Caenorhabditis elegans: one gene and its partners. The protein of the gene in region 1 interacts with the protein of each later gene in a pairwise test. Each region holds a gene or a part of one and is shown in the gene's direction. Other genes may lie near its edges.

The links.
Region 2: the proteins of lin-36 (region 1) and haao-1 interact in a two-hybrid assay, tested with the Caenorhabditis elegans proteins (3 studies listed by BioGRID).
Region 3: the proteins of lin-36 (region 1) and mua-6 interact in a two-hybrid assay, tested with the Caenorhabditis elegans proteins (3 studies listed by BioGRID).
Region 4: the proteins of lin-36 (region 1) and eps-8 interact in a two-hybrid assay, tested with the Caenorhabditis elegans proteins (3 studies listed by BioGRID).

The regions. Positions count from the first base shown.
Region 1 is NC_003281.10:8,013,757-8,022,701, reverse strand, and holds lin-36 (Protein lin-36), read left to right. Parts: upstream 1-1,828; 5' UTR 1,829-1,831; coding exon 1,832-1,930; intron 1,931-1,986; coding exon 1,987-2,085; intron 2,086-2,160; coding exon 2,161-2,744; intron 2,745-2,845; coding exon 2,846-2,966; intron 2,967-3,041; coding exon 3,042-3,580; intron 3,581-3,681; coding exon 3,682-4,090; intron 4,091-4,213; coding exon 4,214-4,618; intron 4,619-4,684; coding exon 4,685-5,142; intron 5,143-5,190; coding exon 5,191-5,257; intron 5,258-5,472; coding exon 5,473-5,580; 3' UTR 5,581-6,054; downstream 6,055-8,945. Other genes in the region: F44B9.2 (uncharacterized protein), read right to left, coding at 1-239; F44B9.5 (Lipid droplet-regulating VLDL assembly factor AUP1 homolog), read left to right, coding at 6,165-6,288, 6,356-6,503, 7,059-7,328, 7,670-7,856, 7,901-8,056, 8,106-8,294, 8,715-8,813. UniProt on the Caenorhabditis elegans protein: Required to negatively regulate vulval development. Antagonizes Ras-mediated vulval induction. Acts cell autonomously.
Region 2 is NC_003283.11:9,501,733-9,508,515, forward strand, and holds haao-1 (3-hydroxyanthranilate 3,4-dioxygenase), read left to right. Parts: upstream 1-3,177; 5' UTR 3,178-3,278; intron 3,279-3,872; 5' UTR 3,873-3,956; coding exon 3,957-4,200; intron 4,201-4,463; coding exon 4,464-4,694; intron 4,695-4,736; coding exon 4,737-4,851; intron 4,852-4,902; coding exon 4,903-5,017; intron 5,018-5,065; coding exon 5,066-5,151; intron 5,152-5,196; coding exon 5,197-5,251; 3' UTR 5,252-5,386; downstream 5,387-6,783. Other genes in the region: swt-5 (Sugar transporter SWEET), read left to right, coding at 42-119, 1,414-1,537, 1,588-1,680, 1,739-1,801, 1,917-2,036, 2,593-2,709; acs-14 (4-coumarate--CoA ligase), read left to right, coding at 6,402-6,611, 6,728-6,783. UniProt on the Caenorhabditis elegans protein: Catalyzes the oxidative ring opening of 3-hydroxyanthranilate to 2-amino-3-carboxymuconate semialdehyde, which spontaneously cyclizes to quinolinate.
Region 3 is NC_003284.9:16,261,032-16,268,947, reverse strand, and holds mua-6 (Intermediate filament protein ifa-2), read left to right. Parts: upstream 1-3,261; 5' UTR 3,262-3,266; coding exon 3,267-3,742; intron 3,743-3,963; coding exon 3,964-4,150; intron 4,151-4,205; coding exon 4,206-4,958; intron 4,959-5,136; coding exon 5,137-5,298; intron 5,299-6,242; coding exon 6,243-6,359; intron 6,360-6,416; coding exon 6,417-6,467; 3' UTR 6,468-6,659; downstream 6,660-7,916. Other genes in the region: Intermediate filament protein ifa-3, read left to right, coding at 1-468, 692-853, 1,240-1,356, 1,404-1,454; Serine/threonine-protein kinase sgk-1, read left to right, coding at 6,897-6,918. UniProt on the Caenorhabditis elegans protein: Cytoplasmic intermediate filaments provide mechanical strength to cells. Essential protein, involved in attachment structures in epidermal cells that connect muscles to the external cuticle.
Region 4 is NC_003282.8:14,876,910-14,884,093, forward strand, and holds the start of eps-8 (SH3 domain-containing protein), read left to right. Parts: upstream 1-2,653; coding exon 2,654-2,706; intron 2,707-2,760; exon of another isoform or gene 2,761-2,781; intron 2,782-2,919; exon of another isoform or gene 2,920-2,940; intron 2,941-3,132; exon of another isoform or gene 3,133-3,154; intron 3,155-3,352; exon of another isoform or gene 3,353-3,373; intron 3,374-3,457; exon of another isoform or gene 3,458-3,478; intron 3,479-3,697; exon of another isoform or gene 3,698-3,718; intron 3,719-3,847; exon of another isoform or gene 3,848-3,868; intron 3,869-3,942; exon of another isoform or gene 3,943-3,966; intron 3,967-4,019; exon of another isoform or gene 4,020-4,040; intron 4,041-4,172; exon of another isoform or gene 4,173-4,195; intron 4,196-4,427; exon of another isoform or gene 4,428-4,448; intron 4,449-4,650; exon of another isoform or gene 4,651-4,674; intron 4,675-4,740; exon of another isoform or gene 4,741-4,761; intron 4,762-4,884; exon of another isoform or gene 4,885-4,905; intron 4,906-5,930; exon of another isoform or gene 5,931-5,951; intron 5,952-6,095; exon of another isoform or gene 6,096-6,117; intron 6,118-6,465; exon of another isoform or gene 6,466-6,486; intron 6,487-6,682; exon of another isoform or gene 6,683-6,703; intron 6,704-6,829; exon of another isoform or gene 6,830-6,850; and 3 more.

The DNA.
Region 1 (8,945 bases):
GTTATCTGTGGGGCTAATGGAGCAGCTGGAGGAGTTGGTGGTGGAGCACTGATTGTGACTTCAGGTGGTCCATTTGATACAGAAATAGTTTCAACTGATTTTAGAATTGGTTTATCAAATGCATCACTCAATACAGGTGCAGCTTCAATGATAGTTGCTGGAGTTGTTGGAGATGTTGGAACTGATGATTGAGCTGTATCTTCACGAATCCAAACTATATCATCTTCATCGTCAGCCATCTAAAAATAGAAATTGTACTGAGTTTTGATGCTTCATAAAGTAGAAAAAGTATGCGAGATTGGTTTTATTCAAAAAAAACTCTTGTAGTAGTAGTGATATGGATGGCATGTTGGTTGTTTTGTTGGCAATAGAGAAATTGGCAGAACGACGGAAGAGGGTTTAGAGGCCATTTTTACACTGTTTTGAGCCCGCCTGAGTGAGCATTAAACACTGAATAGTGTGTAAGATGAAGATACGCAGAGTTGCACACGGACTTGATCAGTGAAATCGGGGGAGGAGAAGGAAGGGATCCGAGAGATTTTAGACTTGAGAAGTGAAGATAGGTTTTTGGAAAATTGACACCTGGAAATTTAAGATTCATGCATGAACATTTACGCGAGCTACAATTTATTGTAACTTGATTAAACCATGAAACAATTTTTTTACAAATGCTTCCCTAGAGAGGCCGGATATTAAAAGTACAGATGGCAGAAAACTTTCATTTGTGTGAGTACGGTAGTCTGATTGTTTGTTATTGAGTTTAAGAATTTTTCACTATTTGTTTTTTAATGTGTTTCTTGTCTTTGGGGGTTTAAGTCGACTCCCAATAAGAAGTTATACCGTAATCGCTTTTATGAAGAGATGTCTAATGACTTGTCATCTTTGAAATCTTTTGCTCGTGCTAAGTATTGTATTCAGACGAATAATACATTATAATTTTCGAAAAATGTAATCACTTCACAAGCCAGGGCAAGAATTGCGCTTCTGTATGAGCTGTCACCAGATTATGATTTTTAATTGTGTACGGAAGAAAAATTGAGAGCATCTTAAGAGGAAGATGCATCTTCTGAAATAATTTTTCTAAATAAAAATCAGAATTATTTTTCAGCATTCCACCCAGATTACGTGTCTGTTATAATCGTTTCTGGAAGACATTCTATTAGATACCGTACCCCGAAAACTAGAAATCCTATTTCTAGTTTTCGGGGTACGGTATCTAATAGAATATGAGTACCTGAGTAAACATCACTTACTATACGCATATGTTTGCTCAAGCTTCTACTATACCTGAACCTAGAGAAAACTGTCTTCCGTTCGATTTAATTTGGCAACGAAATGTTCCAAGCTTATGATGTTCCCGTTGTAATTAATTAATTCCCCTGCTTTAAATCACTTATTGTTAACGAATATGTACTTCTCAAACTCCTGGTGTTATCTCCGTGGTATTTTGGATAAATTGGTGTCAATCATTTATACAAATGACCTGTCTCCATATTGATATCATCAATTCAACGTCCCTCCAGTTCCAAGTCGCTTGTTCGGCGAGAGAGCGTAGCAAACGGAGAGACGTCATAGAAAAAGTACGCAACCGCGCGTGGCGGTGTTTGCGTACATCAGATGAGTGGGAGCCAGAATTGTACAAAAATTGGCCGGACAATTATCGATTTTTACACTTTCGACTCATTTTTCACTTATTATCAATGTTTTTCGTTATTATTTGTATCTCTTGAGCGTTTTAAACAATTAAATTCACTGTATTTTCTGTTTTTGTGCTCAAAATGTGTAGAATTTGCAAAAGAAAGGCTTTTCCAAAAATATTTGATTGCAGGAAATGTCGGAAGAATTGCTGAGTACTAGACCCAGTAAAAGGGATTATAATGATATTGAAGAACCAGAAGACTCACACGTGACGGTGCACTCAGTTGAACAGGTATGGTGATAATTGAGAAACATTCTCGCCGCTTATGAATATCAATGCATTTTTAGGATTCACAGCATTCTGGTGAAGAATCCTCAACTGTAGACGCATTGCAGGAAACTGAGGGTGATGTTGACGTAATAGGAGAAGATGAGGACGAACACGATGTACGTTTACATTTTCATTCTCGTATTAATGCATGTGCCCATTGGCCGGAATAGAATACATCATTTTATTTTCAGATTCCCGTAATGCCAACTGTCACATCAAGTGGTGAAGTTCTTGATGAAAGCCAAGTCACTCCAACTAAACAAGCTTCGTCGTCACAACCAAGAGAAGAAATTATCCACGGCAAAGGCGAAAGTGTCTACTCCAGTTTTCCGTGCCAAGTTATTCCGGAGACTTTAAGCCGAATGACACGAACTCCGCCAGATGGAGAGCATTTAGAAGTGTACCGGATGTCAAATGGGAGACTGAGAATATATGTTGTTGATCATTTCAAGAAGTTTTCTCCATACTCCAATTTGACTCATAAGCCATGTACAGTTTGTAATCGAGTAATGAAATCGGGAGAGATGCATCTAAACTTCCCAGCAGACTTGGATAGGCGCAGAATTTGGGCAAATTTGCTTGGATTCAAATACAAAGATATTCTTCGCAGTAAAATGGGTCCTGTATCGTTTTCAATTGCTGCCGGTCCAATTTGTACTGAGCACTTCGCCGAGGAGTGCTTCAGGAATCACAATTTCAACAAATCTGCCATCGAAGCTTTTGGAGTTCCTGTTGCTATTTCACCAGACGTTAAGACGACACCGAGTAAAAAAAGGTAAGAAGAAAAGCTGGTTCTGCTCGAAACGAAAAAGCTTGTGAATGAATATGTTAGCTCGATTTTTGGCTAAAACATCCTCTTTCACGATTTTATAAAAGTTCCAGAGTGCCATGGGTCTGTACCGTATGTGAGTTCCACTCGTGCAGTGTTGTCGAGCTTCAGACACATCTTCTCAATCACACGGAGGAAATGCTCAAGAAAAAAGATAATGTTTTGGATGTAAGTTCAAGCTTTTTAGTTAATACTCTTATTTTATCACATAATTCTTATAACAAAAATTAATATTTTTCACAGGTCCCAGAAGCTGGCTTCATGTGCCCATTCTGTAGAAAATGCACATATGGTTACAAGACAATATCTGGATATCGTCGTCACTTGAATGCTGGCCCCATTCATCATTGTCATCTTCGTAGAATATATGAATTCGCTAAAATGAACTGCCGCGCTACTGAGTTGGATCCAGCGGAAAGCTGGGATAACTGGACTCGTCGCAACGTTTATGTGGCATATCACGGCTGTGAACCACCAGCAAATGAAATCGTACTCACACCTTCACCAACGAAAAAAGCCTACGTGCAAAATCCAGAAGAGCGTACGAAAATGGTTCACGATGAAGAGAAGAGAAAGAAGGCAGTGAGGACATTATCGTTTGTTGGAAAAGAAGGTGGTACAAGTGTGAATGATCTGAACGTAATGCAGCGACAAGTGTTTCTGCAATTGAGAAGAGAAGCAGAGATTAATACAAAAGCAGAAGAATCGGCTCAAGGAACGAAGGAGCAAGAGAGCAGTCAGAAAAAACATGCAGAAGAAGAGTCAGACGATGTTTCTGAACTGTAAGTTTTGTCAAAAAATGTTCGAGTTAGAGAACATCCTGCGTAACGAAATTTAAAAAATCTTACTAAATGGAAATCAAAGAAGCAATTAAATTTTTTAGAACTTCCCATCAGTCTCCACAAGCTCCAATGGGATCTGGTGAACGACGTAAAGCAACACGTCTCGCAACTTCCGCTACAAATTCACCAATCAAGAAGGTGGCAAAACACGAAGTTCCTGCTACAGCTCCATCAACTCCAGCTAAGAAACGGAAAATTTCACACGAAGAAGAACACGATCCAACTCCTGAAAGTGTAGAGAGAGAACCAACAGTTTCACCAAATGATCCACGTGAACGTCTTCGTTTGAAGGAACGAGATGAACAATTTGCCAAAATGGTTCAGAAAAGATCTCAGCAAGTTAAGCGATTGATCAATGCCAAACAATTCAAGAAACAAGAAGCAGCAACGAAGAAGCCGAGAAAGGCCTTGGCTTATAATTTGGCCAAAGGGATCGCTGCTACTTCTTCGGTGAGTTTTATTTACTGAATTTATTAAATAATAGATTAGAACTTAATTTGTAACTTTTGAAATTCCTCTTTTACTTTGTAGCATGTTGAAATTCGAATTACTAGGATAATGTTTTTTATTCAGACGGAGCCAGAAGACAAAGTGACATCTTCGGAGCAGACACCAGAACCGACAACAAGTCAAAAATTTATCGCCAGAAATACACGATCGAAAACTAAGGAGAGTGCTGTTCAAAAAGTTGAAAAACCAGCAACTCCTGTCGCAAAACCGGCACCAGTAGAAAAAGAGCCGGAAGAACGCCCTCTAAAATCAATGCTCGCGAGATCTTTTGTTGCTGGAGTTCGTCCTTCGATGGCTAAATATCAGATTCCATTAGAATCGTTCACAGCTACTGCATCACTTGGTGGAGGACGTTCATTATCTTCTGGAGTCATATCAAGACCACCAACTTCATCCTCTCCTGGCGGGATCTTTTCTCAAAGAGTTATGGGAGCTGTTGCACAAGAAAAAGGGCCTGCTAAGAGACCGGTAAGTTTAATATATTAGAATTATTTATTAGGAGACTTTGATATTTTTTCTAATTTATTGCTTCAGAGTGTGCTCTCCCGAAGACCACTGATCCTTTCACCACGAAAAAAAACATCAACTCCACGACCAACACTCTCCCATCACGAGTCATCGCCAAACTTCTCAGCATCTTCTCCGGTGGTTGTTTCTGATGAGTATCTGATTCCAGCAACGGATATGGAAGTTGAAATGGTCGAAGAAGTCATTGATTCTATGGGAAACTCATCGTCTGAAGATGTTGCCACTTCTTCAACATCTTCCGAGAGGCAACCGATGCTTACGCTGGCAGAGGCTCTTGAGATGGATGGTTCAAGTGGAACAGTTAAAGATCAAGATATGGAAGAAATCTCAAAAGAAATGATGAAAGATGCTCATTACTACAGAGCAATGGAAGACGCTATCAAATGTCGCACCGTGACGAAAATGCGCGCTGACATGAGACTTTCCCGTCATTGCATCCGGCAAATTGAAGCTGCGAGAGCCAGGTGAGCCCATGGGAGGTCTACTTTGATAAATCGTTTAATTTTTTGCAGAGCTCGTCTGTTTGGCGAAAGGACTGAAGATTATCAAATTTTCTACTCTAACGATGGAGCACAAGTGGTATGTTTTTATTAGTTTCAATTCTGAATTTTAGTAACAATTTTCGTTTTTTAAAAGATTTTATTTATGTTGTTCTCAATTTGAAACCATTTGCTTTGAAAAAATTCCGATTGAAACATCAAAAATCACTGATCACAACACAATTTATTTTAAAAACATGTTTTCTCCGCTATTTGGCGTTATCAATCAGTTTGTTTCATTCTTATGATTTTCAGCTCACCAAAAAAGATCCAAAATGGCGTGAACTTCAACAACAACAACAACAACAACAACAGCAGCAAGAACAATTTCCAGGACAAGGATCATCGGATTCTCAACAATAATTATTTTTAATTATCAAAGAAAGTGCCTCAAAATTCAAGATTCAAAAGTCAATTGTCCTTTCGAGGATCGCCCCACATTTCTTTCATGTGAACTATCTCTGTTTTATATCCACAGAAGTTATCCCATTTTACTTTCATTCGAAATTCTTGAAATCTGATAAAAACTCCGACTAGGATAGATTTTCGTCTAGATTTTTAGGATTTTCACATTTACTTTTTTCCCATTTTTTACCCCCCCTCCCCCCTATAATTTACTTTCCAAAATTAATAGTTTGTTTTACTTTCCATAAGCCCCCGCCCCCTCCCCAAAAACCACACTTTTTCTATCATAAATTAATCTGAATTATTCACAAAAAATGAGCCAAAGTCTATTTAAACGTTTCCCTAGTTTTCAATTACATTCAAGTTTGAAAGATATGTGCGTTTGTGTGCCAAATATGACTAAAAGTCAATAAATAAATGATTTTGCTTGGTAGGTTTTTGAAAAGAGTTTTCAGATTATTTTTTCTATAGGCTACCTGATTATCCATAACATTATATTTTGAAAAAACCATGAAAAATTTAAAAAAATCCTAAAATTTAGAATGGCATCACCAGAAGCATCGTCTTCTGGAAATACAGAAGATCTTCGTATCGAAGATTTATTCCATCAAAAACGAAATGAAGATACGATTGCTAAAATATTTTCGATTATTTATGCTCCAGTTGGTGAGATTTTTTTCAAATTTTTTGACACATTCCAAAAAGTAAAAGTTTTAAAAAATCAAAATTTCAGGTTTAATTATTCTTTTAATTCGTGTTTTCCTCGGTTTCCACACATTTATTGTTGCATGTCTACTCAGAAAATCTGCTGCTTTGAGAATGCACACTCTTCGAATTATGTGCTCAATTCTCGGAATTGTCGTTGAAAAATCTGGTCACAGGTTTGTGATTTTTTTTTTGAAAAATATTTGATATCTCCAAAAAAATAGAAACAAGTTACTGAAAAATTGGAAGCTTGCCGTATTGCCCAGGCGCAAATTTTTTTGCGACTTCTGTCCCAAAAGTGAGGTACCTGGTCTCGAAATGACAATTTTTTTGTTAAATACAAAAACATGTGCGCCTTTAAAGAGTACGGTAGCTTTAAAATTTCGTTACTGTGGATTCATTGATTTTTCATAGTTTTTCTTACGATTTTTGTTAAAATCAATGTGTTTTAAGTGTTATTTTAGTTTTAAAAATTTATTTTAACGAAAAAACTTTGAAAAATTGATTTCAAAAATTCCGCAGCAACAAAAGTTCCATATATCCATTTATATTTTACAAAAAAAAAGTTTTTCAAGACCCGGGTGCTGTACTTTTTTTGCAAAATGAAATTCGGTAATTTTTAGTGTATCTAAAAAAAATTAAAAAAAAAAGGTCACTAACTATTCCTTAAAATGTTTTTTGCTTGCCGAGATATTCACAACTTCTTAGTATTAAAAAAAAAAGATTTTCAGAGATGAATCAGCTCGAGTTTTGTGCGCCAATCATGTATCAATTCTTGATCATTTAGCAGTTGATATTCTTACTCCATGCCTTCTTCCATCTGTTTGGGATATTCCATCGATTATTAGATGGTGTTTTGGATATGTAGATTTGGGAGCAACACGTGGAAGAGATCAACTTGTCAGTAGAGCCAAACAACTACTCACCAGAGAACAAATGCCACTTCTCGCATTTCCAGAAGGAATTATTACTAGTGGAGAAAAGGCATTGATCAAGTTTAAGTATGTCATTTGAACTTTCCAAATATTTTGTGATTTCGATTTCAAGATTTTTCAGCTAAAAATATGGTTTGTCACTACAAATTTGTGAAAAAAAATCTAAAAATCTTTTTACGCATTTTCATCAATTTTTCATAGTTTTTTTCATAAAATATAAAATTCACATTTTTAATGAAAAACTATGCAAAATCGATGAAAATTCAGCATAAATTAGGATTTTAAATTACAGTACTCTTTAAAGGCGCACACTTTTTGTCGGATAAAGAATTGTCATGTCAAGACCGGGTACCGTAGTTTTGGCGCAAAAATCATGAATCTCGAACCCAAATCTACTAAATTTTCAGTACTTGGTGTTTCGAGGTGTCTTCAGTAGTTCAACCCGTCTCAGTGCGTGTGTGGCGTCCGTATCCTTGGAAAGTTTCAGTTTCAGTATTGGGTTCTTCATGGTGGACTGATCTTTTCTATTTCTTTGCACTTCCGTTTACTGTTATCACTGTCGAATATCTTCCGAAAATGGAAAGACGAGAGAATGTAAAGAAAAATTGGAATTTCCAAATAAAAACAATTATTTCTAGGAATCACTCGAAGAATTCACCGCCCGAGTTGCCGAAACGTTGGCTGGAAATTTGAAGATTGCAGTGTCAAAGTTTGGAATTTCGGACGCAACAGAAGCAGCAAAACGGCTTAGAACAGATAGAGAACGTGCGAAAAAAGTTGTCGTTAGAGAGAAGGTATTTGTTTCCAATAATTTGTTTTCTTTAAAAAATGAAAATTTTCAAGACTTCACCTAGACTTGCGGATCCTCGTCAAATGGACGAATGTGCAATGAGAATCAAACAATCATTTCCATCATTCCATTTATCTGCAATTCGACGTGATTTGGAGAAAACTCGTAGTCAAACTACAACTGTTAATAATTTGAAAGCTGGTAAAATTTCATCATCAGCATCGGATGGTCAAACTGGAAAGGTTAGGAACTACAAATTCGATGAATTGCCCAGAAATACTGAGATTTTTAAGCCTAAGACTACTGTACCCGGTCTCAACACGACAATTTTTTGTAAAATACAAACCGCCGTGTGTCTTTAAAGAGAACTGTAATTTAAAACTTTCGTAGCTGACAGAATTTTCATCGATTTTCAGTTGTTCGACACAAATACATTCATTTATTGGAAAAACTAAATTAAAACAATAAAAAACATAAATTTTAATAAATCGTGAGAGTAAATATGACAAATCGATGAAAATACCTCAGCTACCAAAAGGTTGAAACTACAGTACTCTCTAAAGGCGCACATCCGTTTTGTATTTAGCAAAAACTGTTGTGTCGAACCCAGGTATCGTAGTTTTGACATTAAATATGAAGAATATCTAAATAACAATTTTCAGGTTACATTGGACGCTGGTACGTGGCGTGGAGTATTCGACAATCGAAAATGGCAGATGATCGAAGTTAATCGCCAAAAATACATGAACCGCGATTCTTAAATTTTCAAATTAGATTATTCGATTTTTCTTTGGATTTTAAAACCTTTTAGTCATCATGCCTTGTCATTTCCTTTGCCTGTTCGATTAATTTATTGCATATGCTTTGTCTATTAATGAAAAAAAAACGTTTAT
Region 2 (6,783 bases), on another chromosome or scaffold:
GTAAATTTAAAAGAAAATAGTTAAAAGTATTTAAATTTCAGTCAAGCTGTTCATAAATGGGTACGAAGGCAAAGCAGTGACAGTGATACTCCCATTCCATACATTTGTGCAGTTATTGGGTAAGAGTTTGCCCTAAACATTTATTTATTATTATTTAAAGGAAAATTAAGTATATTCTAAAGAAAAAAAAAACAAAAAAGTTGGACAAGAATGTGAAATCTAACTCTACAGAAAAAAACAGTTTTCCAACTCGTGCTAGTCTCCCAGTCTGATTTTATTTATTTTTACCAGAATATGAAACCAATCAGTGCTCACTTAGTTTTTTGGTATTCAAGTAATTTTTCGAAATGTATTTTAATACACTTCTGACACCACGAATGTATCAAAATATATGTTTTTGGTTACTTAAATAAGGCAAAATGTGTGTACTTAAATACACTTTTTAGTTTTCCGACTTTTTACTTTGTACGTTGTTTATTTTTTGTGATATTCCAGTACTTCGAACTTGACAAAATCTAAAAAAGTGGTACGACTGCACACGTTTTTGAGTTGTGTTCATAGGATATAAATAAAAAACAACAAAGAAATGCTCATAGTTGTACAAAGTTCAACTTAAGTTGTAGTTGTACTAGTAACTTGTCTAATTCTCACCATTTTACTTTACCACCTTCACCGCAATCAAGATCAGTTTTTCTTTGAAATATGAGATGTCCTTCATGAATTTTCTTAGAAGATCATGAGTAGTTTGGCAGCGTAAACAATATGAAAAATTCCCTTCACCTCTATCAGATTTGCATTTACGTAAAGAAATACGGTTTTGGTAGATACCATCTTTTGCCATCTAGCTTCCATTTATTGCATCTAATAAAAAACAATTTTGAAGTGAAACGTTACTTTATTTCTTCATTAACTTTCTCAAGCTTATTTGGAAATTGTCGATCCATCTCCATCTTCAGCTCTCATGTTTTCTTATATCATTCATTACACTCTTTAAGCCTTGTTCCAACAGAACTATAACGTTTCAAACCTACACTTTTCAATAGAATAATTGTCACTCTGCCAATTTCGTAGCTTGTAGCTTGGGCATTAAATAACGAACATTTGGGAAACTTTTTTTGAATTCGCAGTCGACATCTATCAAGATCCTATATAGGCCAATCACGTCCCAAATATATCATATTGTGTTTCTCTTAAATATGAAGTACTGTATCGAGAGAGCATTTGCTCCATGAATACTGCAATATGGCATAGTCGGATCACCGTTTCAAAGCCAGGGCACAATTTTTTCTGCCTCTCTTTTTATTCCGACTCTCCGATATTGCAGTATTCAGTTCACAAAATAAACTGGATTACTGTAATGGTTCTGTAATTGCTGCTATAATAAAACTGTACAACGAATTCCAAAAGTTTCAGGTCTGCACTATGGCTTCGGTATTCAATATTTCTTCGGGACACAAAGCTTATCCTTTTGCAGACATATGCAGTTTCAATGCAACTATTCTTCGTGATTGCACTCATTTTCTACCGTACCAAAAGAGTATTTATATTTGGATCTTGTTCTTTTTAAATATTTGTTTTTAATTTCAGCGAAAGTTAATTCGTCTAATGACTGGAATTGCAGCTGCTCTGTCTTTACTCTTCTTGTACATTGGTAATATGAATGATGAAGACGGGAAAGAAGTGAGTGTCTGCGTCCCTTTTTCTTATATACACTCTCATTTCTCTATGTCTCTTTCAGTTCACTGGCCGCATCGCATCTGGCGCTCAAATTGCTGGGTCTCTGGTCTGTCCGTATCTAATAGTAAGTACTAGTTACCCGTTTAGCCGTCGGGGGTATAGCTCAGGGGTAGAGCGCTCGCTTCGCATGCGAGAAGTCTGGGGTTCAATTCCCCATACCTCCAAATTTCATTTTGCAGTACAAAGCAGTAACATCGAAATGTATAGATTTTGTACCCCTGGCTCCAGTGGTCTTCACGTGGGTAATGGAGCTCCACGCGATCGTTTATAGTATTGGTATTGATGATTTTTACATGCTGGTTTGTTCGGAATTTTTTAACTGTTATCAAATCAAAGGGTCACATTTTCGACGTGGCCTAGAAAGATCTAAAACTCGGTCGGCGGTTTATCTTTAATTTTCACAGGTTCTTTCTGAACACTCTGAAGATTGAGAGTAATGTACTTAAAATAGTTTTTCTATTGGTTTTTCGGAGAAGATTTCTTGAGATAGTTCTTAATAACGTGGCACCAGGCTGACCCATTACGGTTTGATCTACAAAAAATGCGGGAAATTTTTTGCCCAAAAAAATGTGACGTCAGCACGCTCTTAACCATGCTAAATCAGTAGAGAAGTCAGCGTCTAATTTCCCGCAATTCTCGTAGATCTACGTTGATCAAACCGACATGGGACAGCCTGACACCACGTGTAAATTCAACTTTTTGAAAGTGACCGAGTTTTCTCAGTTTCTAGGCCACGCTTCATTCTTGAAAATTCGTTGCTTTTAGATGTAAAACACTAACTTCAAGTATGTGGACAATTTTTTGCACCAATAAATGTGTTAAGATAATCCTAAATTCAATTTTACAACTTTTCAGTTAGCCAACGTGATCTTCTTCTGTATGGATGGTTCACTTCTCTCGATGTTCTTCGTGTATCCAACGGAAAAAAAGAAGAAAAATTTGAAATCGTCACCAATTCCAACAGTCATGTAACCCAGAATGCTTCGTGTTTTGGTCAAAGCATCTCAGGTTTTCTATCAATTTTCTCTCCAACACCAATTTAATGTTGCTTCTCTCTCCTCCTCCCACTCCCAATTCTCAATTTTTCGAAATAAACGGGTACCAGTTCCTTAAGACGGTCAAACATTTATCATTAATCAAGAATTGAAAAGCGACACTTGAATCAGCGAAGAATAAGCAAATCACGGAGATTTAGATACGAGAATAAGAAAAATGTAAAAAAGACACAAAAAACGGAAATAAGAAGAAGAAGATGGGCGAAATTAAGAAGATGTGACATTGCACGTTTATCATTTCGTCGCGTTAATCGGACATTAACACCGCTTTGTCTCAACCACATACAATTTTTTGAAAAATTTCGGTTTTTTGTGGGTGATTTAGTCTATGTTACTGTAATCGAATTGACAAATTCTTCGATCGTCTATGACTTTAGCTTTATAATTTAGGTTAGAAAAAGAGAAGTTTCGGAGATGGAATGTGTCAACTTATGTTCCAAAAAACCCAATAAACTGCAATATTTATATGAGAAATATAAACTGAAGGTAAGAAGAATGGCAGGTTATATTATTAATTGGTGTATATGAAAGAAGGTCATTCGTTTATTATATTATCTATTCTTAATCTCTTTTATTACATCCAAACCTTTTAGAGACTCTCTGAACATTCTATTGAATTCGAAATTTTCATCTGGGGATTACTGTACTTAGCTCATAATCGTATCAATTCCTGAACACACTCACTGCCGTTCTCAAAATTATGTAAATTTTCATATTCTCTTTATGGCATCTGAGGATTATTTTTATGGCTTAAAATCAATTTTTGGCAACTTGACTACTTACAAAATGTGTTCTCATGCATAACTTTGTAATAGGTGGGTACGAATGCTTTGTTCCTTTGAACTTCAAAGCGTTCCCAAGAACGCCTTGTATTGGTATTTCTCGACGATTTATTGTCCGTTTCTCGTTTCTTGTGATAATTATAGAGGTCAAAATGTCACTTTTACTTGCCATTCATATATTCCAGTCTTTTTTCAATTTCAACCCGATCTCTCAGTTCTCTACCAATTCGTCTTGAGCTAATTCCCTTGTCAATCGATGAGTTGCTTCACCTCCACTAAATTATTCATTTCGCATCAGGAGCAAGTAGTCTGTACGACTTCCGTTTCTACCGAAGAGCAACAGAAGCCTCAACTCAAACTGGCAGAACCACCTGTGATAACAATGAGCGGAGTTACTGCAATTGAGATTCCACAATGGATTCAAGATAATCAAGAGGATTTTGTACCACCTGTTTGTAACAAGTGTATGTTCTCGGATCAGTTGAAAGTTTTCTACGTTGGAGGACCAAATCAAAGAAAAGATTTTCATTTGGAAGAAGGAGAAGAGTTTTTCTTCCAGAGAAAAGGGGATATGGTACTGAAAGTGATTGAAAAGGGTCAAGTCCGTGATCTAGTAATCAAGCAAGGTAGGATTCATCACAAAATTTATTTTTGAATTTGTAAATTAATTAATTAATAACACAAACTCACATGGTTTCTTAGATAACTTTTTAACTAGCTTTTTAAATTAAAATTCCATGAACAAAAAATTTAGACTGAAAATTGAGAATTTTTCACAATTTATAAACGGAAACTAAATCTGTGTTGTCAAAAATTTTTTGGAATTATTTTTTTCACAAATGTTAGATAATCTGAATCAAAACTCAAAATTGAGCTCTCTATTTTTCAGGGGAAATGTTCATGTTGCCAGCAAGAGTAGAACATTCACCTCAAAGATTTTCCAACTCTATTGGTCTTGTCGTTGAACGTGAACGAAAGAATACTGAATTTGATTGTGTTCGATTTCTTGTTGGTTCTTCCAATATCACACTCTTTGAAAGATGGTTCTATTTGACTGATGTTGTCAAGGATTTACCTCCATTAATCAAAGAATTTTATGGATCGAATGAATTCAAAACTGGTTGGTTTGTAGTTGTGTGAGCTCACCGATTTTTTGTTTCAGGTAAACCAGGAAAAGGAACATTTGCATGCAATGCTCCATACGAAGCAAGATGGACTGATTTACCCGTACCTATTAATAGAAAAGAATTTATCTATGATCATATCAGTGAAGTGAAGTAAGAAATTAGTTGGTTTTGTTTCGGATAGTTAATTTGAGAAGTTTTCAGAAACGGACCAGTGAGAATTTATGGAGCACCTGAGTACAAAACTGAAGTTATGTTGCTAGGAGAGGGATCTTATGATTTGGAAAGTGGAACTGTAGAGTTGCTAATTTGGTTGCAGGTATGGCAAAAACAGAAAAATCCCAAAAAAAATTCATGTATCATTTAGGAAAACACATTTGCGGTCGTAGAAGAGAGCGGGTTCACTTATGCAATGAAATCGGAGACCATGGTTAGGATAAAACCGAACACAAAGTAAGAATACGGAATTATAGGTTCTTTGAAATAATTTTGTTTTAGGTGTCTTCTTAATGTCAAAGGAGGATTTGCTATCACCATCAGAATGCCAGCATAATTTTTTTTTTCAATTTTGTAAAAGTCAATTTCCATATAGGCTGATTGAATGAATGCTTTTTTCAATATTTCTATCTTTATTCCAAAATGTAATTTCAATTTTGATTTATAACAAAATGAATGACATGCAATCGTGGCCAACTGATAACATCAATTCCGTTTCATTATCATCGATGTCAAATGTCTCGTGTAACACACGCTGTCGGTTCAGCAAAACCATCATGTTCTTCAAAGCTTCAGAAAATTTGTACTTTCAGACCTCGTTGTTCGTTTCAGGAAATTATGTCACTGTAAAAACTGTAAAATTGGTTAAAAATACAAAGAATCCAATTTTTGTTTTGTAGTTAGTTTACATAACTATTTTTAGTATGATTTCTATTTCATTAGAAAAAAAAACGTTAACTCATTCCGAAAATTTTTTAGCAGAAAAATAATAAATGCCTTTTAGCCGTAATTTTCAAAGGGGTTGTTTTTAAATTTGATGGGGAAGATTGAAAATAATAACTTAAAATAACTTCTCGGTTGGAAAAAAACTATAATTTAGAAAATGTTCACAATACCTCATTTTTTACTGTCAAATCGTCACGAGAACTTTGATTGTTGAAATTTGGCCAGTACTTCCTTGTTTTGAGCATCTTTTTAATATGATCAATGACGTACAATCCAAGTTTCAGATCTTTAAAAACATCTGATTACGATTACAGATCTTTTATTTTATTGTTCATAGCCCATTTTTCGTTTTGCAACCCTTATCATTAATATGCCCTTTTTGTGTACATTTATTCTTTTTCTTTCGTTGTCTTCATTGAGTATTAACTGAAATTGTCTAGGATTATGAGCATCGGAAACTGAAATGATAAGTATTTCCCGCGCTCATGTGGTTTTTTTTTTAATTTTCTAACGGTTTTTCCTCAACAGTTGAATCAATGTTATAAATTGCCAAAAAACAAAGACTACAATAAATGGACCACATTATAACGTCTAAGCACTGTAGTTTTCCTATTTACTATTATCAACTGTCGTCTTTATCAGTCTCTATCTTTTTCTAAATTGACCTTCGGCCACACTGTAGGCTACCCATGCTGTCCTCTTGCCCAGTTCTTATATTTTGATTGTTATTGCTAAATTCATTTATTTTTCAAACTTCAGCCATGCCACACGACTCTACATATCCACCAGTGAAGATTTCCGAGCGTCCGTACCATGAGATGCTCCTTGATGCAATTGATAAAACAATTGCCGATGGAAAGAATAAAATTGCATTTGTGAGCGGAGATAATCCAAAACATTTCATTACTTTTGAACAACTTCGTAAGGATGCTTTTGCTGTCGCTATGTATCTTCATAGCATTGGGTTCAAGGTATGTGGCATTATGTTAAAAATTTGGGAATTTTATAATTCAACAAGAGAAAGGAAGTATTTCAAAAATCTTTCAATTTGTTCAAGACAATGCCTTAAATTTTTGATATCTTTTAGAAAGATGTTGCTGCTGTTGTTCTTCCAAACGTCTGGCACTATACTTCATTTTTCAT
Region 3 (7,916 bases), on another chromosome or scaffold:
CGACAAAACGCTGAAATTAATCACAAGAGGGATGAGGTCAAGAGACTGCACAGTCAAGTTTCAGAGCTAAAAAGTAAACATGCCGAACTGGCAGCAAGAAATGGTCTTCTTGAGAAGCAACTTGAAGATCTCAACTATCAGCTCGAAGATGACCAAAGATCCTATGAAGCCGCTCTCAATGACAAGGATGCTCAAGTTCGGAAGCTCCGTGAGGAATGCCAAGCTCTCCTGGTCGAGCTCCAGATGCTTCTTGACACCAAACAAACTCTTGATGGAGAGCTCAAAGTTTATAGACGAATGTTGGAAGGTAACTCGGAAGAGAACGGACTTCGCCAACTTGTGGAAAAGGTTGTCAGAACATCTGCTATCAATGAAGAGGTTGACACCGAAACGATGCGCGTAGTCAAAGGAGAACACTCCAGCAGAACATCTTATCAACGTTCCGCAAAGGGAAATGTATCCATCAAGGTTAGAAAAATTTTTATAATTGTTAACACTATATCCAAAACAGAAAAAGTACTCATTGGATGGAAAATAATTCATTATCTGCAAAATTCATTTTGTTTAAATCGAAAGTTACAGGATGTTTCTGATTTCGAAGTTGAAATCGTATCTCAAAATTAAGATTGAACAAAATTTAAAATTTGATATTTTCTTCTAATTGCATTAATTAATCATTATTTATTTTCAGGAAGTCTCCCCAGAAGGCAAATTTGTCATCTTGGAAAACACGCACAGAGACAAAGAAGAGCCACTCGGAGATTGGAAGCTGAAAAGAAAGATTGACGGAAAACGCGAGATCGTCTTTACTTTCCCATCCGACTATATCCTCCACCCGGTTCAAACTGTCAAGGTTTGTGAAATTTTATTGAGAATTCAAAATTATATCTAACAATTTGGAAATGTTGGATATAAAACATTTCAAATTGGTGTCTCAGAGTGAAATGTGTTACTGTCATTTCTGTGTGTCGAATTGATAATCTGATGCGCACTGGGGTGTGACAAGGTCATCTGAAAATGATGAGTGGACTTTTTCCTGGCTATGTAGCAAAAGATAGAAGACTGGGAAGCATCTAGTTATGTTTTCTGAAACTGATATAATCTAATTTTTCAACAGAGAAAAACATCAAAAACAATTAAGAACCAGAAAAAAGTGATGTTTCAAAAAATTTTAGCGACAAAAAAATTAAAGTTTTTCAGGCTGCATGCCAAACTGTCAAAAAAACGGTCTATTTCCAGATTTTCGCCCGCGGGAACGGTGTTGCCAATCCTCCAGAAGTTCTAGTTTTCGAAGGTGACGACACATTTGGTGCTGGTGCCAATGTTCAAACAATCCTCTACAACAACAGTGGAGAGGTAACTCAAGCCAAAATTTCAAAAGTATTTAGAATCTTTTTTTGCAGGAACGCGCAACACACATGCAACGCCAAAGCCAACAGACTACAACTTCATAAATCTAACCTTGCTCGGATAACAATACGAGAAATTTCCCCATCTTAGTTAATTTTTTCTTCTTATTTTCAAGCCGAAATTGTACGGAACCGTAATTTTTTATTTATTTCATGCAGTATTTTGCCATGACTCAATTCAAATTTTCATCCATTCTTTGTCTTTCAGTTTATATTTTTTGATCTAACATTGAGCGCCATTTCATTATGACCTAAACTACTTCTTACTAATTTTTTATTCACTGATTTTCGACATCTAAATTTATATGTTTTAATATATTCTAATAAACAACAGTTAGTTGATTCAGTTGTAAAGGTGGAATAGCGCCAGTGGGGAATGTGTCAAAAACCACTCCTATGGTCTCAAAATAACCAAATACCATGATAAAACATTTCAAAAAAATTGGAAAACTTTTTATTTACTGTCAAAAAGTGACAATTGCTCAGTTTCTGCCACTCATAATTTTGGAAGTCGACCAAAAAAAATTTTTTTTTCTACATATTTTATAATGCAATTTTATTTAAATTATTCGTATTAAAACATTGTAGGGGTCGAAACATGCGACATTGCTTTGGGTTTCCTTAAAAGACTCATATTTTCAAAATTTTGGCAATTCTCCTCGTGGTTTTGGCCTATTATAAGTGTATTTAGGCAAAATCTCCATTTGCGCTACTTCACCTTAAAGTTTATTACAGTTATAGCTTGTGCTTATTGCCTACCTAGGAACAGTAGAAAATTAAAATTTTCTTTGTTTCTTCTCAAATTTTTTTCACTTTACGGAGAAAGAAGTAGTTAAATCATTTAAGGGAGCTGATTTCAAATTCTATTTATATTCCTTTTTTAATTAACGAAAACTAGAGCACAAATATTAAATAAGACTATTGGCTTTTAATTGTTTTGATTATTCAAAAATAACAACAAAAAAAACCAAAATTCATGTTGCAGCTAGATCGGTGTAAAAAAACTGTAGTTCTTTGACTAATTACTTTTTGAAACTAGTTTCTTCATTTTGAAACTAAGAACAAACATTTAAGAAAGTTTCCTTTGAAGTTTGCCGAAGTTCAATCACTAAAAATCTTTTTTGCTGTCTCTTCACATTTATCTAATCATTTTAATTCGAGGCAAGTGGGTGAATTCTGACATATCTATCACTTAATCTATCAATTAGTCACCTCGAATCGAATATTTGAATAGAATATGTAACAGTTAAACTTCACAATCTCTCAAGACGAATAATCATTAATCAAAACCACACCCAATCGTGTTTTAACTGACTCCTGACTCATCTGGACGACACCCTTTTCTGGTAGTAGAACAATAATTCACTTACGGGAACATGTCCATCTTCGTCACTTTTGCAATCACCAATGGAGGCGGGGATTGCGAATGGATAAGTGGTCAGGAAAGAGAGAGAGAAAAAAAACGATAAATTGGAGAAAACCGCTCCCTTCCATCATCTTCACTGCGCCGCCCATCTCCAGCCCCTCCCGATCCGCCACCTTCTTCGTGTACAAGAAATGTTGATGGGTTGGGAAGGAAGAGGTGAGGCAGTTTTTATGTCGCCCTCCACCTCCCCTCCCAGTTTTCAATTTCTCGATTTACTTATGTAGGTGTGGTTAGTTATATTCTCAAGAGGGTGTGTCTCGGGTTTTGTCATTTTTCTCACATTGTCCCTGAATTGCTATATTTTTTTGTTTCTAAGTTTTCATAAAACAATTCAAATTAGACAATCTGATTGTTTCAACTTCTCTCTATTTTCTTGCTCCCCAATATATTATAACATAGATTTTTCTAACAATTTAAAATTTTCAGACATAATGACCGATCCAGATTCCTACCGCAGCTCCATCACCTCTCGCCCATCATTCAACCGCACTGTTACCAGCAGTAGTCAAAACTATGGAGCACCAGGATCAGGGAATCGTGTGCTGAAGATTGTCACCGAAACTCACTCTTCCTCAGTTTCAAGTGGACTCTCCCCATACGGACAGAATGCTGCGTCCACCATCCGAGACAACCGTGAGCGTGAAAAGAAAGAAATCATGGAGCTCAATGATCGTTTGGCTAGCTACATTGAGAAGGTCAGATTCCTTGATGCTCAGAACAGAAAGTTGGATGCCGATCTGAAGATGCTCCAAGGAAGATTTGGAAAAAGTACCGGATCTGTGAAAGTTATGTATGAGATGGAGATCACCACTGCCACCAATGTTGTCAAGCAGACAGGAAAGGATCACGGAGAGACTGAAAAGGAGATTCGTAAGCTTCAGGATCAACTCGACGAGTTGCGAAAGAAGTGAGTTTAATTGAGATGAGAAACCATAGTAAATATGAAAACCGTAATGATTCGTTTATATTGATAATCTGCTAAATCTGGATCCTATTCTGGAGAGTTTGAGCAATTCTAGCCATTGCTCCAGTATCACTCCGTTAAGAAGTTGAAACTTTGTATATCCTATACCATTAATACCGGTCCCGTTTATATCTAACAAAATTCACATTGAATATTATTTTCAGGTTTGAAGAGGCCCAAAGAGGGCGTGCTGAAGATCGTTTGAAGATTGATGATCTTTTGGTTACCCTTTCCAACCTCGAAGCCGAGATCAACCTTCTCAAGAGACGCATCGCCCTCCTTGAGGAAGAAGTTGCTCGCCTGAAAAAGGAAAACTTCCGGCTCACATCTGAACTCCAACGTGTTCGCATTGTGAGTGACTAAATCATGAAGTATTCGGAAAAAAAGATACAATTTTTAATTTCAGGAGCTCGACCAGGAAACCCTTCTTCGTATCGACAACCAAAACAAGGTGAAGACTATTCTGGAGGAGATTGACTTCATGAAGAGAGGATTTGAGACTGAGCTCAAGGAGCTTCAGGCTCAAGCTGCTCGTGACACCACTAGTGAAAACCGCGAGTACTTCAAGAATGAACTCGCTAATGCTATGCGTGACATTCGTGCCGAGTATGACCAGATCATGAATGGAAACCGTAATGACATGGAATCCTGGTACCAGTTGAGAGTTCAAGAGATCAATACTCAATCCAACCGCCAAAACGCGGAGAACAACTATCAGAAAGAGGAGGTGAAGAGACTCCGCAATCAAACTTCCGAGCTCCGCCAAAAGCTTTCTGATTTGGAATCAAGGAATCTTCTTCTTGAGAAACAAATCGAAGATCTCAACTACCAGCTCGAGGATGACCAAAGATCCTACGAAGCTGCCCTCAATGACAAGGATGCACAAATCCGCAAGCTCCGTGAAGAATGCCAAGCTCTCATGGTCGAGCTCCAGATGCTCCTTGACACTAAACAAACCCTTGATGGGGAGCTCAAGGTTTACAGACAAATGTTGGAAGGTAATTCTGAAGGAAATGGGCTTCGGCAACTTGTCGAGAAGGTCGTCCGCACATCTGCAATCAATGAAGAGGCTGACACCGAAACGATGCGCGTAGTCAAAGGAGAACACTCCAGCAGAACATCTTATCAACGTTCAGCTAAAGGAAATGTGGCGATCAAGGTGAGGGATTTATTTTCAAGTTTTTTGAAAATTGCTTTTTCGCTAAAATAAAGCTTTGACGTTCAAAAATTTAAAACTTCCAATGGCCATTGACTGTAGTCACTAATAATATCATTCCGACATAAAAATAATCAATTTATCACTTAGTACATACTCAATAATGATAATTTCTTTTCAGGAAACCTCCCCAGAAGGCAAATTTGTCATTTTGGAAAACACACACAGAGCCAAAGAAGAGCCACTCGGAGACTGGAAGCTTAAGAGAAAGATCGACGGAAAACGCGAGATCGTCTTCACCTTCCCATCCGACTACATCCTCCACCCATTCCAATCTGTCAAGGTTTGCGAATTTCTACTTCTTTCAGAAACAAGCCTAGCTACCCAGGACCTGTCGCGTATAAAACATTTCAAATTGGTGTCTCAGAATGAAATGTGTTGTTGTCTCTGTGTGTGTGTGTCGAATTGATAATCTAATGCGCGATTGCGTTTGGGTGTGGCAAGGTCATCCGTCCGTAATGACTAAAGGGGGGGTAACTTTGCTTCGAAAAAGAAAGATTGGGGATGTATGTAGGAGAAAAAGAAGGAATAAAAAGTGATAAACAAATTGATGGAAACTGTGAAGACAAACGTTGTTCACAGAAATCAATAAAAGGGACAGATGAGATGTGAGATTATTTAGGTCAGCTTTGAAAAAAAATGTTTTCAAATAAGGTTTGAATAAGAAATGAATTTGAAAGAAGCAATTATTTATTTAAAAGGTGGAGTAGCGCCAGTGGGGATTTTGTCTAAATGCACTTATAATGATCCAAAACAACCGAATATCATAATAAAACACTCCAAAATTTTTTTTAGATTTTTCATAATTTCCGGTCAAAGTTTTGGCAAATTCCCAAAAAATTTTAAAATACTAGCTTTTGAGGAAATTCAAAGAAATGTCGCATGTTTCGACCCCTACAATGTTTTAATACAAACAAAATTAAAACATAAAAAATGTCGAAAAAAAATTTTTTTTTTGATCGACTTCCAAAATTATGAGTGGCAAAAACTGAGTAATTGCCACTTTTTGACAGTAAATAAAAAATTTAAAAATTTTTTTTGAAAAGTTTTATCAAGATGTTTGGTCATTTTTGGACCAAAGGAGTGGTTTTTAACAATTTCCCGACTGGCGCTACTCCACCTTCAATCAATTTCATACAAAACATTTTTCATAAAAAAAAAAGAAATTCAAGTGAGGTGTTTTAACATTAAAAAAACCACTGTAAAGACAAATTTCTACATTTCCAGATCTTCGCCCGCGGACAAGGAATCGCCAATCCTCCAGAAGTGCTCATTTTCGAAGGTGACGAAACATTCGGTGTTGGCGCCAACGTTCAAACAATCCTTTACAACAATAAGGGAGAGGTAATTCAACCCCCAAAAATTTACGTGCAGAATAAAATGTTATTTTTTTCTTTGCAGGAGCGCGCGACACACATCCAACGTCAAAGCCAACAAACGACATCTTCCTAAATCTAGCTTTTTGCTTGAGCTATTTACTGTTTTCTTCTCTTTGTACCAGAAATCTGAACCCCAACTCTTTGCTGCCTGCCTGTTTGCATTTTTTCCGTTTGCTATATACTTTTTCACTTTTTTGTTTCTTTTTCCTCCGGTAACTTACTCATTTTCAACAATAAATACTTTATACAGATCAAAAAATTGCCATATGGAATGTTCATTTTTCATTTGAAACATTGATAGGAAAAGTAAGGTGGGGAAATATTAAAGGTGATAACGTGATCAAGAGCAAATAAGAAAGTCAGACGAATGGCTCGGTGAGCCGTGATAAGAAGACAAGGTCCAACCCAGCGATTCTAATCAGTTAACACGAGACAAGATACATCGAAAACCCACATTCGACCTGGTGGCGGTTATTCTAAATACGAGAGCATTACTGTGACAATGGGCAGCATGTATTATAATGGTGAGTCAAAGATTAAACCTGGCTGGTTCTGTGAAATGTTTGTATTTGTTTTAAGAAATTCAAAATCTGAAATGTCTTAAAAGTCTCAATTTTTTTAAATGGCTGATAAAATTTTGAAAACCTAGCTCTTCCAGATAAAACCTAGATTTCTGCCAACATGTCACAGTTGCGGCGGTCTGAAAACATTAGTTGATGGGTGCAAAAAATACTTCTTACTCCTGAAAACAACTTAATCAACGAAAAAAGTCATAACAATAAATATATTCATTAAAAATACATAGAAAAACAGAACATTCAATAAAATTTAATAAAAATCAATTTTGGGTAACTATGACAAACATAGGTTGACAAGTTAAAAATGTAGTTTTTTGTATTTTTTATTTTTTTCAGAAATAAAAATAAATTAAATTCGATATTTTGGGGTCATTTTGACCCAATTAAAAAATTAATCCAAATTTCGCTACTACACCTGTGAGAAGTTATCATAAATTTTTTTTAAAATGTGCTTTAAATGTGGAGTAGCGCCAGTGGGGGAAATTGTCAAAAACCACGCCTATGGTCTCAAATTAATGGAATATCAAAATAAAACTATTCAAAAAATTTTTGAAATTTTTTTTTTACTCTCAAAAAGTGACAATTATTTAGTTTTTACTCAAAATTTTGGAAGTCGTCCGAAAAAAAAAAGTTTTTCTACATTGTTTATACTGTGACTGTGTTTTAATTATTCACATTTAAACATTGTAGGGGTCTAAACATGCGGCCATGCTTCGGATTTCCTCACAAGCTCATATTTTTCGAAATTTGGCCATTTGCCAAAACTTTGACCGGAAATTATGAAAAGTCTAAAATTTTTGCAGTTTTTTATTATGATATTCTGTCGTTTTGGATCATAATAAGAGCATTTAGACAAAATCCCCATTGGCGCTACTTCACCTTTAAAATGCAGATAGATCATTAACTCAAACATAAACTTACTAGTTTTGAATTTTCATTATGAA
Region 4 (7,184 bases), on another chromosome or scaffold:
TGGGGGTGGAGAGAAGAAGTTGACTACTACTGACTTACAAATTACCGCCTCCTCCTTCCCCGTTGCCTAATACGGGTGAGAGGAGGTCAACATGTGTGGTGGGAAATTGAACGGAATTCGGAAGGAATTGAAAGCGATTTGGGGAGGGAAAAGTTATTACTAATTGTTTTCCAGGTGTTCTAATTGTTTCGAATTGGCAAATTTACAATCACTAATTTTTGTAATTAAATAAATGAAAAATTACTGTTTCAAATTGTCTTTTAAAGCGGCTAACAGAACTGAAACGGTAATTTTTTTTGTTTTTTTTGGAAAAAAAATAGACTGTAGAAACAGCTGCTCAATTTTTGTAACGTCAGAGATGTGCTTTTTTTGAACTGGGAATGTACATTACTATGACTAATTACGTAATGTATTTTGAATTTCTTACTTTAAATGAATGTTCTATCAAATAAATTCATATCCGTTTCTCTCTCGCGGCAAACACAATAATTTTCTCGAAAAAAACATTGAATTAATTAAAAATATGAAACAGCAGAATTTTTCAAATTAGAAAAAAAAACTATCTTCGCACTATTCTCGCATCTGAAATATTGCTTCTAAATCACAACCAAACACATTAATTATTACTAGTGAAGCAGCTATTTTTTTCTGAAAATTATAAATTAAATTTAACATATATTTTCACTAAAACTACAAACTACAATTTGAGCACAGTAAAAAATTGCACAACTTTTGTAAAATCGAATTTGTAAAACGAATTAGTGTTTCTTTATACAGCAACTAATCCCACATATTTCAAAATAAGTAATGCAAGTGAAACAGTAAATTTAACAAAATTAACCTAATTTTCAAATGATTCTCAACCGAGCTTAAGTTCAATACCTATCCAAATCCCAACCAGTTTTTCATTCCAATTCCAATCCATCTACTTTCTCTCTCCACCTGTGTCTCTCACCTCTACCATACTATTTCTCCCACCTTTTCAATCGACAGTTTTTTTGCTGTTTCGGTTTCTACTGGATACACGCCTTTGGGGCGTGGAAATAGAAGAAGATGGATGGATTTTGGAGGAAAAGTTGAAGGAAAACTAGAGAATGCTGGGGCCCGGATACTTATTATTTCTTTGATTCGATTTTCTTTACTTTTTCCCCAGTTACAACAGATTTTGGAAAATTTCACGAAATTCAATTTTCTTTTGTTTCTTTGGATGTTTTTAAAAAGGGATTTTGTAGTTTGAAAACTTGAAAGCTTACAGAAAATTTTATGAAAATTTGCATTAAATTTTCTGCAGTTTCACACTCTTTATTTCAGCGTTATAGGGGTTTTTGCAACATTGCTTCAATTTCAATTTTTCCTATTGCTAAATATAGAAAAAAAAGCGGTGGCGAATTCTTTATGAAATTGTCTAAAATCCATCTTGTATACGTTTCAAAAAAAATTATGCTGTTTCAAAAATGTAACTTGTTAGCACAGAATATACGGTTTTCGTTCAGATTCGTTTTCAATCTCAATTTTCAAAATCTTCAGTTGAAGAAGTTATCTTTTTCTGTTTTTTCTTCGTAAATCTGAAAAATAATCACTGCTTCAAGTTATTTACGATTTTTAATTGATTTTGAAATCTAACTCAATTACTTTAATTAATTCTGTCATGTTAATACATCTACAAAAATAAATCTTACTCCTATATTTTTCATTCAATTTCAGATCTGATTGACTTGATTTTCAAGAGTATAGCTATTGCTAGAATTTTTAGTTGTTTTTAAATTTATCATTGATTTTCCGAGTATTGTTTTATTCACTAAAATTTCCAGATTCACAAAAGTTTTTAGTGAAAAATAAATCAGTGAATTGAAAATGTTTTAATTTAAAATTCAGATTTTTCTCTCAATTTCTCACTCTAGCCGCTTTAATGTTCTCTTCTCTCAATCTTTTTGTTAATTTTTTGAAACAAATTATCACTGTTTCAAGTTTTTTTAAAAATAATTAATCAATTTTCAATTTTAATTTTCACATAAATTGCTTTCGCTTTCATGATGTTATTTTCAAAACAATATTTTTCACTATTTTCATTTGTTATATAAAACATGGTAAAACTTCCCATTATACTCTCTTTTTGCTTTCTTAACTCTAGTTTCCAAATTAAAATTAAAAAATTGTTTCTAAACTTCAATTATATTTTCCTAAAACTTTCCACGAAAATTAAAATTCATTAGAATTTCTTACAGTTACGAAAAAGGAGCCAAACTTTGAGATTTGAATTCAAGTTTTCCACTTTATAATTAAAAATGAAAATTTCTTCCTTATTGTAACATATCATTTCGTTAATTTTTTAAACCAAAACTTTAAAATTTTCCTGTTTCACGTTGTTTATAAGAAACATTGATTTTTTAAAAACATTGCTCGGTGGATTTTCTGAGTCTTTTTCAAAAAATAAAACAAAACTTTTCTCATGTTTTTATTGGTTTTCAAAATGTCATATATTTTTTACTTTTCCAATTCCAACTACAATTTTTCGAAAACCCAATGCTTCAATTTTTCTTCCATAACTTTAAAGTTAAATTAAATTTGATTTTATTTCAGCCAGTCAAATGCCATTTGCTTAAAAAGCGAGGAAATTTATCATCAGTGAAGAAGTGTAAAACATCTATTAAAAATGATGCGTCGAGGTGGATCGATGGGTCCACCGAGCGGGGATCCATATCAGAGGTTAGTATATTGTTTTATGAAAATAATTTAAACACAAATACAAGGCAAATTTGATTACATATTGAGATAGTCAAATTTTACAATTGAAATAAAGTTTTTAAAGCTTTAAACTTGTTTTGTATTGAAAATCCAAGTATTTGATAATTACTCCCAAAATTGTGTCAATTTTCTAAAAATTGCTGACAATCTAAAAGGTGTGAGACGAATTAACTCAACAAACTAAGGAAAGCAGAACTAGAAAATATTTGAACTTTTTTTTGAAATAGAAGTTATGAAACGGTAATTTTTGCGAAATTTTTTAACCTAAAATTTAACTTCAACGTATTTGAAAATCCATTACTGCAAATAAATTTTGAGACTGAAATATTTCTCAAAAATTGACTATTTCGCAATAGATGTTAAATGAAATTTAATAAGTCACCAGAATTTCAAACAGGATGAAAATGAAAAAAAAACAGCTTCAAACATTTTTGTTGAAGTAATTTTTTTAAATCTAAATTGCTTCCAGCGACTTTTTAGAGCTGTTTTCTGTATGTTGATGGCTCGTAATACCCTAAAATTCATTTTTTTTCAAATAGAAAAAAAAATCGAAAATATCGCTGTTTCAAAGAAATGTTATATTTTCAAAGTTTTATCAATGAATTGTTCTGCTGACCTTTTTATTATGAGAAGATCAAATTAAATCATTTATCAAATTGAAGTCGATCCCCTATGAAAGTTCGACTAAACTGACTTCAAACCGCTTTTTAAACCGAAAATTGCAACATTCTTACTGAGTCAATAAAAATTAGAAAAATTAAATGAAGATGCTGAAACTGTAGAGTGTTTCAATTTTCGGTTTAAAAAGTGGGTTGAAGTCAGTTTAGTCGAACTTTCATAGGGGGTGGAATCCTTTAATCAGAAAATTTTAAACTGGATGAAAGAAGAAGTAAAAACAAACAAATAACTGCTTCAGATTCATGTTATTTAATTTCTGAATTTACTTTTCCGTTAAAGAATTTACTTTAAACTTTTTTTTTAGCAAATTAAAAATAATCTTTAAAAATCTAAATCTTGAAAAAGGAAAAAAAAAATGTGAATATCAAAATTTTGACCGTTTCACATTGTTTTTTTTTAATATTGACATTTTCTGGTAGCATAATATCAACAGAAGAATATTACTTGTTAATAAAAAAATATTAAGAAAATTAACTATTTCGCTTTCCTTATAAATATTCGTTATCAGATTTTATAAATTAGTAAGCTCTCGGAATTTTCTTAAATTTTCAGTTTTAAAGTCAAAACGACTTCCTTAATGTTCTAGAATAACTCAATCAATTAATTAACCAATTAATCCGTTGAAATGTCCCAGTTCGACAGGATTTATTGAATTTTCGAAATGAAGTTGATTAATTAGTTTTCAAGATGAATATCTTATTTCTCTGTTTCACCACCACACCTCTTTGGGTGTGGTTTTGGAAACTTATTTGGAATGTGAACGATTTTCCTAATGCCAATGAACTTTTTGCATTTTTTAAATTAGTTTTTTGAAACAGTGATTTTTTGTGAAGTCGTTTAATTGTAAGTTTTCAATATTAAACACCTTAAAAGTTAATTTATTGCGAAACCCCCTATAATAATGATTAGAATATTTCAAAAGTTGATTTTGAATTACTCTGATAATGCGTTTGAAATAATTTTTTCTGTTGAAACTAATTTGTTTTTTATGGTTTCCCTGTCTTCTGCATTTTTTTGAAAGCACATCATTGATAAAATGTTTCTAAAGTTTTATATTAAACATTTGGAACCGTGAAAAATTTTAAAACAACTCCAATATAGCTAACTTTTTTACATGTGCTTGTTTTTTGGAACAGTTTATTTTTTGTGCAAATTTTTAAGTATAATATTTTCAACATTTTACCATGTTTCAATGTAGTATTAAATTTTACCTCCACCATAAAAAATTATTGATTTCAATCTTATTGGTACATAACTCAAATGTTGAAAAAAAAATTTGTTGCACAATTGGAACTGTTTCAGAATTTCCCTACTTTCAAGAACAATTTTTTTTGGATATCGCAGTGTCCAAGTTTTCGAAAATTTTAGTCAGAAACCTGAAACTGTATCAATTTAAGCAATTAAAGTAAATTTAAAAACAATTATTGTATTCTTAAAAACCTGAAAATTGAATTGTTTAAAAGTGTAATTCACTGGAATTCATCAATATTCAAACTTTTCACATATTATGTAGCAAAGTGAAAACAGTAGAATTTTTAAAAAATTTAGAAAAGTCCTATACATTTTCAAGTTGCGATCAAAAATGGAACAAAAAGAAGCTGTTAAGTTTTGCTTATTCAGTCAAACTGTTACTATAAAATATAAAATTCAAAAGTTCAAGAAAATCATTTAGATATGTAACCAAATAATATTCGACTAATTTCTAATGAAAATACCTACCTAAAATCTAAAATCGTAATCACGGTTTCACAGAATATTATTTGGTTACATATCTAAATGATTTTCTTGAACTTTTGAATTTTATGTTTTATAGTAACAGTTTGACTGAATAAGCAAAACTTAACAGCTTCTTTTTGTTCCATTTTTGATCGCAACTTGAAAATGTATAGGACTTTTCTAAATTTTTTAAAAATCTTTGTGAAAAATGCGACTCTCTCTTAAAAAATTCTCTGTTTTTGTATCAGGGGTGTGCGGCAAATTTGCCGATTTGCCGAAAATTGCCGACTTGCCGAGCTCGGCAAATTTGCCGATTTGCCAAATTCGGCAAATTTAAAAAAACCAGCAATTGCCGATTTGTCGAGCACGGCAAATTTCAAAAAAGTAGATTTGCCGAATTTGCCGAGCTCGGCAAATTTCGAAATTTGCCGCACACGTCAAAAATTTTACAGTACAATTTTGACTAAAATTATTGATTTTTTCGCCAAAAATTTAGTAAAATGACACAAAATTGAGTTAGTTTTATGCTTAAGCAGACATACTACACGGAACTAATTCAGAAACCAGATGTGTGTTAAGAATTCGGTAGTTTTGGTGTTCCAAAAAACATCAAAAATTATCAAAATTTTCCGAGTTTGTTAAGCACGGCAAATTTGCCGAATTTGCCGAATTTGCCGTGCTCGGCAAATATTGAAAAACCAGCAATTGCCGATTTGCCGAGCTCGGCAAATTTTGAAAAACCAGCAATTGCCGATTTGCCGAGCTCGGCAATTTTTTCCATTTGCCGCACACCCCTGTTTTGCATGTCTTCATCGACTGCGGATCGTTACAAACATTAAAACAATGTAGTGAAATTGTATACCATTAAATTTCAAATGAAAGTTAATTTTGGAAATTTTCTGAAAATTTCACTGTTTCGACAAAAGAATATAACAGTTTTCTTTTTGCGACTCCAATTCCGTAATGTTGTATTTTCCATGCATAAATTTTTAAATTAAAAAATACTGATTTGTATTTTTTGTAATAATATACTTTCAATCATAACCTTTGTAAAATTTGTCAGAAAACCCAAAAAAAATTGATAAATACATACCATTTTACGTTTTTCTTACTTTGACAATGGTTTGAAAAAATTAAAATTCACCAGTTGCTTAATGAAACATCTATATATTTTTCTCTCTTTTTAAAGAAAAAATCGCTTAAAATTAGACAAAAAACATTGAATCACTATAATGAAATTGTTTAGAAAAAGTTAATTGTGGAAATTTGAAAATTTTTCACTGTTTCAACAAGTAATTTTAAGATTTTCCTTTTTGACCTCTTCAGTTCGTTGAAAGCTGAACACTTACATTTATTTAAAAAAAGTTAATTTCCAGGAAAAAATGTACATGTACAATTTTTTGAAGCACCTGAAATCAAACCAAAAAATTAATGTAGTGAAATTGTATAGATGTAACTTTGTGTAATGTTAATTTTGGAAGTTTTTAAAAATTTTCACTGTTTCAACGAATAATTTTTGAAAATCTCCTTCTGATTCGTTCAATACCGACGCTCTTCTTTTGAAATTAAACCAAAAAAATTAAAACACTATAATGAAATTGCATATAATCGTGTTTATAAATTATGGAAATTAAAAAAAAAATTCACTGTTTCAACAAATAATTTTACGATTTTTTGTTTTGACCCCCTCAAAAAATGAAATAAGTGTGGTGAAACTGTAATTTTTAATTTCAATTTTCACTGTTTCACCGGATAATTTCAAATTTATTTCCTTTTGAGCTCTTCAATTCCCAACACCGTCCCCCTTTTTATACAAAGCTTCGTACATACACATATAAATATGATTTCTCCGTCCGTCCAACTGATAAATGCCAAAATGTTACGTGCATCCCTGCTCGGCGCCAATTCCTGTCTGCGTCTCTCGCATTCTCCACGCTCTCTCGACGATTTGATGTTTAAGGAGAGTAGGTGTTGAGTGAGGGAGAATGAGAGAGGTACTGATAACGAAGACAGAGGAAAAAGGAGCTATTGTATGGAAAATGACA